Linked DNA regions of Macaca fascicularis. The protein of the gene in region 2 purifies or fractionates together with the protein of the main gene of each other region. This does not show direct contact. Links are inferred from orthologs where the notes say so. Each region holds a gene or a part of one and is shown on either strand. Other genes may lie near its edges.

What was found.
Region 1: the proteins of SLC9A6 (region 2) and CLGN purify together in Homo sapiens (co-immunoprecipitation; 3 studies listed by BioGRID and IntAct, with this or other methods). This does not show direct contact. The link is inferred for Macaca fascicularis from reciprocal best matches to the Homo sapiens genes SLC9A6 and CLGN.
Region 3: the proteins of SLC9A6 (region 2) and MBLAC2 purify together in Homo sapiens (co-immunoprecipitation; 3 studies listed by BioGRID and IntAct, counting the BioPlex papers as one, with this or other methods). This does not show direct contact. The link is inferred for Macaca fascicularis from reciprocal best matches to the Homo sapiens genes SLC9A6 and MBLAC2.

The regions. Positions count from the first base shown.
Region 1 is NC_088379.1:145,557,076-145,560,726, forward strand, and holds part of CLGN (calmegin), read right to left. Parts: intron 2,561-3,651; coding exon 2,487-2,560; intron 1,831-2,486; coding exon 1,772-1,830; intron 1-1,771. UniProt on the Homo sapiens protein: Functions during spermatogenesis as a chaperone for a range of client proteins that are important for sperm adhesion onto the egg zona pellucida and for subsequent penetration of the zona pellucida.
Region 2 is NC_088395.1:142,126,045-142,129,695, reverse strand, and holds part of SLC9A6 (sodium/hydrogen exchanger 6), read right to left. Parts: intron 1,122-3,651; coding exon 1,044-1,121; intron 741-1,043; coding exon 664-740; intron 364-663; coding exon 251-363; intron 1-250. UniProt on the Homo sapiens protein: Endosomal Na(+), K(+)/H(+) antiporter. Mediates the electroneutral exchange of endosomal luminal H(+) for a cytosolic Na(+) or K(+).
Region 3 is NC_088380.1:94,475,490-94,479,711, reverse strand, and holds the start of MBLAC2 (acyl-coenzyme A thioesterase MBLAC2), read left to right. Parts: upstream 1-1,356; 5' UTR 1,357-1,452; coding exon 1,453-1,906; intron 1,907-2,254; exon of another isoform or gene 2,255-2,382; intron 2,383-4,222. UniProt on the Homo sapiens protein: Acyl-CoA thioesterases are a group of enzymes that catalyze the hydrolysis of acyl-CoAs to the free fatty acid and coenzyme A (CoASH), providing the potential to regulate intracellular levels of acyl-CoAs, free fatty acids and CoASH.

The DNA.
Region 1 (3,651 bases), on a different chromosome or scaffold from region 2:
AGAGAACCAGAAATAAAGCAAAATACTTACAACTAACTGATCTTTGACCAAGCACACAAAAACATAAATTAGGGAAAGGACACCCTATTTAATAAATGGTACTGAGAAAACTGGCAAGCCACATGTGGAAGAATGAAACTGGACCCTTACCTGTCACCTTATACAAAAATCAACTCAAGATGGATTAAAGACTTAAACCTAAGATCTGAAACCATAAAAATTCTAGAACACCAGAAAAACTCTTCTAGACATTGACTTAGGCAAAAAATTCAGGACAAAGAACCTAAAAGCAAATGCAACAAAAATGAAAATAAATAAATGGGACCTAATTAAACTAAAAAACTTCTGCACAGCAAAAGAAATAATCATCAGAGTAAGCAGACAACCCACAGAGTGGGAGAAAATATTAATAACCTGTGAATCTGACAAAGGACTAGTATCCAGAATCAAGAGACTCAAACAAATCAGTAAGAAAAAAATTAATCCCATCAAAAAGTAGGCAAATGACATAAATAGACATTTCTCAAAAGAAGATACAGAAATGGCCAATGAACATGCTTAGAAAATGCTCAACATAACTAATCATCAAGGAAATGCATATTAAAACCACAATGAGATACTACATTACCCCTGTAAGAATGGCCATTATTAAAAAGTCAAAAAACAATTGGCATGGATGTGGTGAAAAGGGAACATTTATATACTGCTGGTGCAATGTAAATTAATATAGCCTCTATGGAAAACAGCATGGAGATTTATTAAAAAACTGAAAGCAGATCTACTATTTGTCCAGCAATCCCACTACTGCTTCTACTGCTTTTTCTGTGCATATGAGGTGGTGTCCTTTTTGGACTAGATAAGCATATAGACATATATACACATACACACACATATATGTGTGTGTGTGTGTATGCATGCACAGGGGATTTGCTGGGATGGCGAACACGATGCAAAGGAAGACATGTAGGTATGACCTTTATCTTACACTAAACAGAAACTATGAAAAGGAATCAGACAGCTGACATCCAACATACTATCTGTTTTGCTGTTGTGATGTAACTGCTTATTGGGGTCTGAGCGCAAGGTCACATGTTTATGAGTATGAGGTCCTCTGAGAAAGAAGACATTACCACTATCAGTCACTGTGAGAAGAGGCCGATCGTGATTCAGCATATAACAATCAAGGAGGCTGGTTTTTAGATCACAAAGAAGAAAATAGTTGGTTATACTCTAAGGTAGTCCTGTTACGGAAGACAATATGACCCCTGCCTATAGGACATTTCTTTCTAGAGCTAAGACTGAAGATAATCCTATTAGACACCCTATGATAATGGATATAGGCCTGGAGATGAGGATTCCAGAAGTAGCCACATATCTTGTAGCTCTCATTAGTTATCCTCTGCTTTTTACTTGCTAGGAGAATCTTACCATAAATTATAATTTGATCTAGGTGTGTCTAGGCTTGAGATGAAACCATAGAGACAACAGTAGCCTGGGAAATACTGCTTCAGGAAATGCAAAAGACTAACCAGCAGTAGAATGAAAATTCAACTGTTCAGTTAGAAAACTAGATTAACTGGATTAGGAGTGAGATTTTCAGAAATAGCAAAGGGGTTTTCAGAAATATTGAAAAGGGACAAGATAAAAGACTGAACATTTTATTGCGAGGCAGCATGGGGGACTCCAGCCAACACCATTTAACAAAAATATAATCTCAAAAGTTAGTGAACTCCAGGCCATAGCGGTTATATCTAATACTTAAATATTTTACCATCGTATATCGAAATCTCCTCATCCATGTCATCTTTCTTTGCTTTTGATAAGACCCATCTGTAAACAAAGTTGAACATACATATATGTCATTAACAATAAAATCAGCAACTTATAGATATAATGCATACAGAAACACAACAAAAGATCACCCAATACAGTCACTTTTCATTCAACAATAAATTCATACTTAGATGCTAAATAAGGATGCCTTCACCACATAATCCTGGAGGACTAGAGTTAAACCGAATTTGGAATCTATAATTTCCTAACTGTATGATCACAGGTAAGGTACAAGGAGCCTCGGTTTCTTCACTTGTAAAATGGGGATTAAATATGGTAATTATCTATTTCTTTTTAGGACATCTGACACATAATAATTTTAATATTAATTTTTGTTTTTTCCATTATTGTAATAGAACAGTACTCATATTTGTCATCTGAACTTAAAGAGTGTTAATATCTGTCCTACAGAATGAATACATATGATAAATTTCATCTTTACATTCAGAATTAGTATATTTTCTTTGAATAAATAACTATTCAAATTAAACATTCTATCAATTACAAAAATATACTAAGTACTGATTTACATTGTCAATTAAACTACTTTAATTTTTTTTTTAGATCTGTAATAGAGGTAATTTTCACAGGTCAAAACCTAATAACTTCAAAAAAGCTAATAAATCAAAACATTCTCTTGAATGAATACTCACCCAGCCAACCTTCCACTATCAAAAGTTTCTGCAAAATATACTTCTCCTATAGGTTGAGGTGTCTTATATTTAATCTAGAAAAGAGATTTTCCAAGTCTAAAGTTATTCATTTTCACAAATATTTCAATTAAATAATCTTCCTAGTGAAGAACATAGTATGCAATGCACATACAGGTAATACAGATATGAGGTGACAAACCCATACCTGTACAAAACTTTGTATCCTAGTAATGATAAGGTACAAGAAAATATAAGAAATACCATGATGACAAAAATACTATACATACAAACAGTGGATACACTGACCCCTTCTAACACAGAAGGAACAAAGGGACTCTGACAAGTGACAATATTTGTGGATAAAACTCTTTGGGAGCAAAGGAAATAGCATAATGAAAAGCATATAAGATGTAGAGCTTAGTAAGCACATAGGCTTTTAAAATTAACTCTTAAGTTTTACTGTTAGGTACCCTAAAATATAATAATATAATTTTACAAGATTAGGAACCCAGAGAATGAAAAGATTCTATGGAGATAGCATTGCAAAACAATGATCAACAAAGCATTGTTTCAAGTGCCTTTGAAGTGTTAGCTGTTAGGGTGGCAATAATGATGACGGTGGCAGTGGTATTGCTGGTGATATAGTGGCTCCTTTAATTCTTATAATATTCCTATGGGGGAAGTACCATTTGTGCCCTCTTTATATATGATGAAATTGGGACAGACAAAGTAACTTGCTTACTGCTGTCCAGTTAGATAATTGTAGGACTTATATATAAAGCCAAAACTGTCTGATTCCAAAGCTCATGCATTTTTACTACATGATACAGAATTTACCAACAAAATAATTTAAAAGAGTAAAGACTGATAAACTATCAAAAGATAATTTAAACTGAGGACCAATAAATAAAAATTTGCCCACAGTAATAGGTTAGTCTGGATCCTCTCAGAATCAGCCTGTTGTGATTGTATCTGTATGACTAGTGAGATTTCTTCCATTAGGCTTTAGGGAAAAGGGTGCAGAAATACTTTTTCTATTTTCACTGTCCCTATCCCACCCTGATAGTAAAACACTTCCTGTCTATTTAAGGGGGTAAAATCGGTAATTACACAAAATTCCACAAATTACTGACAGGGTCAAGATTCAGCTACCTAAACTGCCAAT
Region 2 (3,651 bases):
GTTGAAACAGCATCAACTTGTGGACCAGTAATAGGCAAATGTAATAAAAACAAAAAAAGTAAAAGGAAACAAATTTGTGCTGAAGCCAAAAGGAATCATGAATTTTGTTTTTTCCTCCACAATTAGAAAGTATAGTACTAAGGAAGTACCTAATCATGAATTCTACACCTCAAAGAAAGAAAAACCCACATGTATTTGACTGCAAAACAATGTACCTCAAGTATGTAAACTCCACTCATATAAAACATACCTGGATCAGTTGCTGATACAATGGCACCAAACAGTAGGCAATCTGTAAAGTAAAAATCTCCTGCAAGTTGTCCCGTTACCTTCATCAGCGTTACACAGCCATACATTATTGACCTGTTCAATAAACACAGTCCTACTTTAGAAAAAAATATCAACTGTTAAAAAATTAGGATAAAGTAAGAATAAGAAGATGGGTTTACTGTAGTACTTTGTGACTAATCCCAAATTTAATTCATGTCATTGAAATATGGTAATACTTTGGTCTTAAGGAAAATTCAAACAACTTATTACCTATGAGAATACTGCAAAAGTCTTTAGACCCAGTCAGGAATATAACACTGCATAAATCAAAAATATATGATTTTAAAATTATAATTTGAAGGCTACAAAGTATTTTAAGCTTCAAATACTTACCCAATAACGAAACAAGAAATTGCTGTTCCAAGAAAAGCGTATGCTAGGATAGACCCGAGATTTCGGAAAAAATGTCTCTGACAAAAAAAAAAAAAAAAAAAAGTTACACTGTTAGAATACTTACCAGTTATTTGAAAAAGAAAAGGTTTTCTATGCTATGCTAATATTAAATGCATTATTCACTAGGACTAAATGCATTATTCACTAAGATAAATAAGAGAAAGCATTCTTGTACAGGTATAAATTTTAACATCTAAAAAGGGTATGGAGAGGAGAAAGGAGGGAATCTGGAAAGAACAGCCCATTTCTGAAGTGTCAAATATTACAAAGCCCACGGAGTTTCAGATTATTCAAAGTATATGAAAGACAAAAGGACTTACCCTTTTCAGGCTATAACCTGCATAAAATATGATAGGAGGAAGTAATATGTTGAAAAATACTTCTGGATCAAAAGTAACCTGTTAAAATAAAGAGTTCTTTTAGATCAATTCCCTAGAAGACCTCATATTCCATTATCAAATGATCAAAAAGAAAAAATACTAAATGTTAAACTAGTCAAAAGCAAGAACATTACTGTGTTAACTTTAAAATATTTCATATAGGATAGCTTCTGGGCCGGGCGCGGTGGCTCAAGCCTGTAATCCCAGCACTTTGGGAGGCCGAGACGGGCGGATCACGAGGTCAGGAGATCGAGACCATCCTGGCTAACACAGTGAAACCCCGTCTCTACAAAAAAAAAACTAGCCGGGCGAGGTGGCGGGCGCCTGTAGTCCCAGCTACTCGGGAGGCTGAGGCAGGAGAATGGCGTAGACCCGGGAGGCGGAGCTTGCAGTGAGCTGAGATCCGGCCACTGCACTCCAGCCTGGGCGACAGAGCGAGACTCCGCCTCCAAAAAAAAAAAAAAAAAGGATAGCTTCTGTTCTACTTCTCAACCAAACGACCAGGAGATAGCATTGGAACAATCAGTTAAGGCCTATTTGTGGAAGGTGTATTAAAATACTATGCGATTAAAAAATGTTTCAGGAGGCTGAGGCAGGAGAATTGCTTGAACCTGGGAGGCAGAGGCTATAGTGAGCTGAGATTGCACCACCGCACTCCAGCCTGGGTGACAGAGCAAGACTCCAGCTAAACAAACAAACAAAAAGTTAAAAATAGGGCCAGGCGCAGTGGCTCACACCTGTAATCCCAGCACTTTGGGAGGCCGAGGTGGGTGGATCACCTGAAGTCAGGAGTTCAAGACCAGCCTAGCCAACATGGTGAAACCCCATCTCTACTAAAAATACAAAAATCAGCCGGGTGTAGTGGCACGTGCCTGTAATCCCAGCTACTCAGGAGGCTGAGGCAGGAGAATCGCTTGAACTCGGGAGGCAGAGATTGCAGTGAGCCAAGATCGTGCCAGTGCACTCCAGCCTGGGCAAAAGAGTGAGACTTTGTCTCAAAAAATAAATAAATAAATAAATAAGAGAAAGGATGAACATTATTTTTGCTTTAAATAAAAGAAACCTGGCTGGGTGCAGTGGCCCACGCCTGTAATCCCAGCACTTTGGGAGCCCGAGGCAGGTGGATCACTCGAGGTCAGGAGTTCGAGACCTGCCTGACCGACATGGCAAAACCCCATCTCTATTAAAAATATAAAATTAGCCAGGTATGGTGGTGCATGCCTATAATCCCCGCTACTCGGGAGGCTGAGACAGGAGAAATGCTTGAACCTGGGAGGTGGAGGAGTCACAATCGTGCCACTGCACTCCAGCTTGGGCAACAAGAGCGAAACTCCGTCCCAAAAATAAATGAATGAATGAACGAAACCCCAAACTGGTAATATAAAACTTAAGAGTACAGTATTATTGTTGGCAAAAAGAAACAGATTTCTTACATAGATAACATCTCTAAAGGTGTATAATATTGTAGTAAAAAGTTTCTGTACGGCTCAGATTTCTACTTCCGATAGTCCACTCATTGTAAGATCTAGTCACCATAAAAATGTAAATGCCCCCCTCTGTTCATAAGGCTGCAGCAGAATGTGACATGAACACAAAGCAGCTACACACAAACCCATGCTAAAACTTCATTTACTAAAACTTTTAAGGAATTGGAATTTTCCACAGGTGGAAAGAACTCTTGCTGCAAGGTAAACCTCAAGTTCATATGAAATTTTAAAAGCATTAAATATGGTCAGAAACACAACCAAGTAGCTATAAAAGTCAAGTCCTGCCTGCACTCCTAGCACTTTGGGAGGCTGAGGTGGGTGGTTCGCCTGAGCCCAGGAGTTTGAGACGAGCCTAGACAACATGGTGAAACCCCAGCTCTACTAAAAATACAAAAATTAGTTGGGTATGGTGGCACGTGCTTGTAGTCTGAGTTACTAAGGAGGCTGAGGTTGGAGGGTCGCCTGAGCCTGGGAGGCGGGGGTTGCAGAGAGCTGAGATCATGCCACTACACTCCAGCCTGGGTGACAGAGTAAAACCCTATGTCAAAAAAAAAAAAAAAAAAAAAAAAGTCAAGTCCTGCCAGTGTAGCAGACAGAAGTGAAGGCAAACAGCAAAGGGCAGGAGAAAACAAAGATATATGATCAAAGTAGCACTGAGAAACACCATGATAAACCTATGAGGGAGACAGGAGAAAGCAGCTCCAGGGATGGCTGGGAGCGAGTACAATTGCAACCCAAACTCTAACATAAAGCTTTATGCACAGCATGGTACAATACCTCAGACTCACACTTAGGGCCCCCGAAGTTGTGTCAGATTGTGAATCAAAGAAAGATTAAATTGTGATCAGTATAGAATACAAGCAAGGCAAGAAAGAATTGAAAGAAATATTAATAGAATATTTTAGGTATTATCAAATAAAGCCAACGTGCTGAAGTACTATAAAACTATAAGGATCGGCTGGGCACAGTGGCTCATGCCTGTAATCCCAGCACTTTGGGAGGCCGAGGCGGGGGAATCACTTGAGGTCAGGAGTTGGAGACCAGCCTGGCCAACATGGTAG
Region 3 (4,222 bases), on a different chromosome or scaffold from region 2:
GCACTCCAGCCTGGGCAATAGAGACTCTGTCTCAAAAAAACAAAAAACAAAAAAAAAACCTAAATAGATGCTTCAATAGCTGGGAAGTGGGGAGTGGAGACAGTGACCTGATGTTAACAGAGCGGATGATTTAAGAGGCTGGCGGGGCCACACCCAGTCATTATTCACTTTTCCCGTCCTTACCAGGTGCTCCTTTTCTCTATTTGAGCCTTTCTACCAACTCGCGTTTCTCTCTTCCAAGGACAGACCAAATCAAAAAAAAAAAAAAAAGAGGGTGGATACAGAATTTTATTTTTTAGAAGAAAAGACAAACCATATTAACAACTTCCTTCCCTACGATATAAAATGCCAACAGTTACGAAAACAGATACTGAACAGTCGGTCCTTAGCTGCAATCTGCGGCAATGACTAGTGCCTCAACAAATCATAAAGTCACTGGATTTGGAAAATAACCTACTATCAGTAAGAGCATAAATACCCTTCTAACTCACTGCAAACAGTCCCAGGAGTGGAGACTGGGTAAGATCTGGAAATTCGACTTAAAAAAATTCTGAAGGGAGCAGGACAAGGAGGGGAGGTACCAAGCTATCTCCAAACACCCCTCAACCCAGAGGCGCTTTAATGAATCTCTACCCCCGACTTCCCCCACAACTTCTCCACATGCCCCTTTAACTCCCCTCTACCCTCACCACCCCTCCCAAGTCTTCGATTGCTTCCTCGGTTACCTGTTCCCTAAGTCTCGAAGCTTGGGCAAAACTCTGCAGCCGAAGCGCCGGCCGGCAAGTAAGGGGTGCTGGCAGAGAACACCGGCGCTCGAGTGCCGTTCGTTCCACCTCAGGAGAAACTCGCACCGCCCTCCACGCGGCCCCAGGACCGCGGCGTGAGCCCTACCAACTAGCCCCGCCCACTCCCTAGGCAGGCCCCACCCCCTCGGCAAAGAGCTTTTTTGCCCTTGGCAGGCTCCGTAGGCTCCGTACAACCTGCTAGGCCCCACACTTTCCGCGCCAGCTAGGAGTGCGCGCTGTGGGGAGCCAGTGGGTGGGCGGTCCTAGCGCTTCCCACCCTTGCTCCGGGCCTCTGCTGTCACACGCCCGGGGTGGCGAAAGGGTCACCACCTGAGTCTCCATTCTGCTGCAGTGGTCCCTGCGTTACAGCTCCCTCGTGGTGCGCCTGCCGAGGCTGCTGTAGCTCCTGCGCCCCCGTGCTGGTGGCGCAGTCTCTGCTTGCTGCCGACCTGGCGGGAGGGTACGAGAGCGCACGCTACTGGCAGCGTCGGTCTGCGTCCTTCCTCCTCCTATTCTGACTCCCGCATCCCCCGCCCCCGCCTCACTCAACGCCTCCTCCCTGGCTGCAGGCAGACGGCTCCACACAGCCGCAGCGCCCGGTGTTTACACAGCCTGTGGGAGACTCGCACGCCCACACTCACCCCGCCTGGCTGCATCCCTGCCCAGCATGTCGGCGCTCGAGTGGTACGCCCACAAGTCTCTAGGCGATGGTATTTTCTGGATTCAAGAACGCTTCTACGAGTCGGGCAACCGTGCCAACATCTGGCTGGTGCGCGGCTCCGAGCAGGACGTGGTGATCGATACAGGCCTGGGGCTGCGCAGCCTCCCTGAGTACCTGTACTCTTCCGGCCTCTTGCAGGACCGCGGGGCCAAAGAGGACGCGGCGCGCCGGCCGCTGCTTGCCGTGGCCACCCACGTGCACTTCGACCACTCCGGCGGCCTCTACCAGTTCGACCGGGTGGCCGTGCACCACGCCGAGGCCGAGGCGCTGGCTCGCGGGGACAACTTTGAGACCGTGACCTGGCTCTCCGATAGCGAGGTGGTGCGGGCGCCCAGCCCCGGCTGGAGGGCCAGACAGTTCCGGGTACAGGCGGTGCAGCCCACCCTCATCCTGCAGGATGGTAATGGGCCCCCGCGGGCGCGCGCTCTCGTTAAGGGAGGGTATTGGGAAGAGACTGTCCGAGTGCCGCATGTTGCAGACTTGCGTGGCCATAAAGGGGATTATTTTGGCACCTCGCGGAACCACTTCTGTTACACCCTTCCCTAAGTAAAAACCTACTTGACCAGAGCCAAAGCCATCACAGCCTTCCCTGCCAGAGGCCAGCTCTGGCACCGTATAGCAATTCTGAGTACTTCTTTGAAAGCCGGCACTACCCCTCCCTAGCCAGTTTCCTGAGTCGGCTGTAGTAGTAACACTACAGAGACTTGTGACTGACTAGGGATTTCTTATTCTTTCCCTAAGCACCTACCCGACATTTCCAGGAGCTTTCGTAGTGAGTAGACTTTTAAGGAATGACGCCCCACGGGGAGTGCATGTCATGATCTGTGCTTTTGAGAACTGCAGACTTCATCAGCTTGGTCACCACCGGGTATGGGCAGTTCCCACCTGTAGCCTTAGAAAGTCATCAGAGCAGCGATTCCAATCCGCTAATGCGATTGGAAACCTCTCAGATAGGTTTCTGTTCTTGATGTTGACTCACGATTGCAAAAGCTTAATAGTAATCATAAACGTAGAATAACTTTATGACAGGTATCTGGTCCGGCTGAAAGCAAAGCCTGAGAAAGATCAATAAGGAAGTAATTTTCGGTAGAGGTAAATTATGTGGACTAATGCATAGGTAGCCATGGTCCTCTTTGGCTCTGTGAAAGACAAATATGGAATTCAGAGAGAAATCCATGGGATGAAAATAAATAGATTAGGGCCTCAGCCCATTTCCCTACGCAAGGACTTAAATAATTGAGCTAATTTGCCACATCAGCAATATTTGGTATATTAGTTTTCTATTTTCTTTTTAGTATACTTTTGATTTCATTTTATCCTCACAACACATTTAAAGTGAGGCCACTGACCTCCCAGTTAAATGGCTTGCCTGAGACAGATCATGATAAAAGCTAGGATATGAATCTAGGCACAATAGATCAAGGCATGCAGAACGTACATAAATCCTACCTCATAAATATATGATGATAATTCTGAGTAGAATGTGAAAGGCCCCTTCTTTCCTTTAGTGTGAGACTATTTTAATTACCAATTTGGTTTATTAAAACATGCCTCTATATAGTAGAAAAAGCCAGTTGCTGCAGTATAGTGAAGCTCACTTTATGACCAAACAATATGGCAAATAATGAAATATTTTACAAAAATCAGTTTATCTCACAGATGACATCTTACTCATTTGAGATATTTTAAAAATTGCAGTATTATATTGTATTACTTATCGGTGCTAAAAAAAAAAAAATTGCAAGATTCTGTACCTCAACCCCACCCAACAAAAGTCTTCATTAAAGTTTTAAATCTAAAATTAAAAAAAAAAAAAAAACTGGTTTAGATGGGAGTCTTACATTATCTGACAATATGAGATGAAAGTACATGTACATTAAATTTTAATTTACATTAAAGTCACACCTAATTACTGTATTTCTTGACAAAAATGGGTACTTTTAGGGGTAAGATTTCCATGCAGTTGATGGGTATTCAGACTAAATTCTGACACCCGGACCAAAAATGTTTACATTAGTATTAAAATATACTTAAATTATTGAAAAGAATAAATTACTTTTGAAATTGACTTTTGATTCTGTATCAGCAATGGGAAATCAAAGGTGAAAGAATGATAGGGATTGTTTTATAGATGAAGAAAGAACCCATGTAGGCCTGAGTATCATGCAAGAGGTCACATCACCCATCTCGGAAAGAGCTGGGACTAGAACCCAGGTTTACCAGTTGATGGTAGAATCCTAACATTTTGGGAGCTGAAAGGGGCCTGCAAACTACTTGTGTGGTACTTTAAGCCTTTAAAAGGGTGAAAAGAAAGCTTAATGTTTACCAGACACTTTGAAGGTGATAGTACTGTGTTATCAAAAGTTGTTTTTCATGAGGAGCTGGATGCCCCACCCTCTCAAGCAGTGTCTACTTTCCTCTCTTCTCAAGAATATTAATTTCCCATATCTTCTGAATGATGTGGCCTGCTAACTTGCTGTTAACATAATCCAGATGCCTGGGAGGATACATAAAATATTTGTATTAAAAATTTGTATACAGTTACACACATGAACAGCATAAAGTATTCATTGCTTTGGTAGAATGCAAGGAGCTGAAATCATTTATTACATTTCCTTTAATGAATTGATGATTGCTTGTCATGGAGAAGCAAAAATCTGTGCACTGTATCTCTAACCCAAAAGCCAACTTGTAAATGAGGGACAAGGAGAGAATA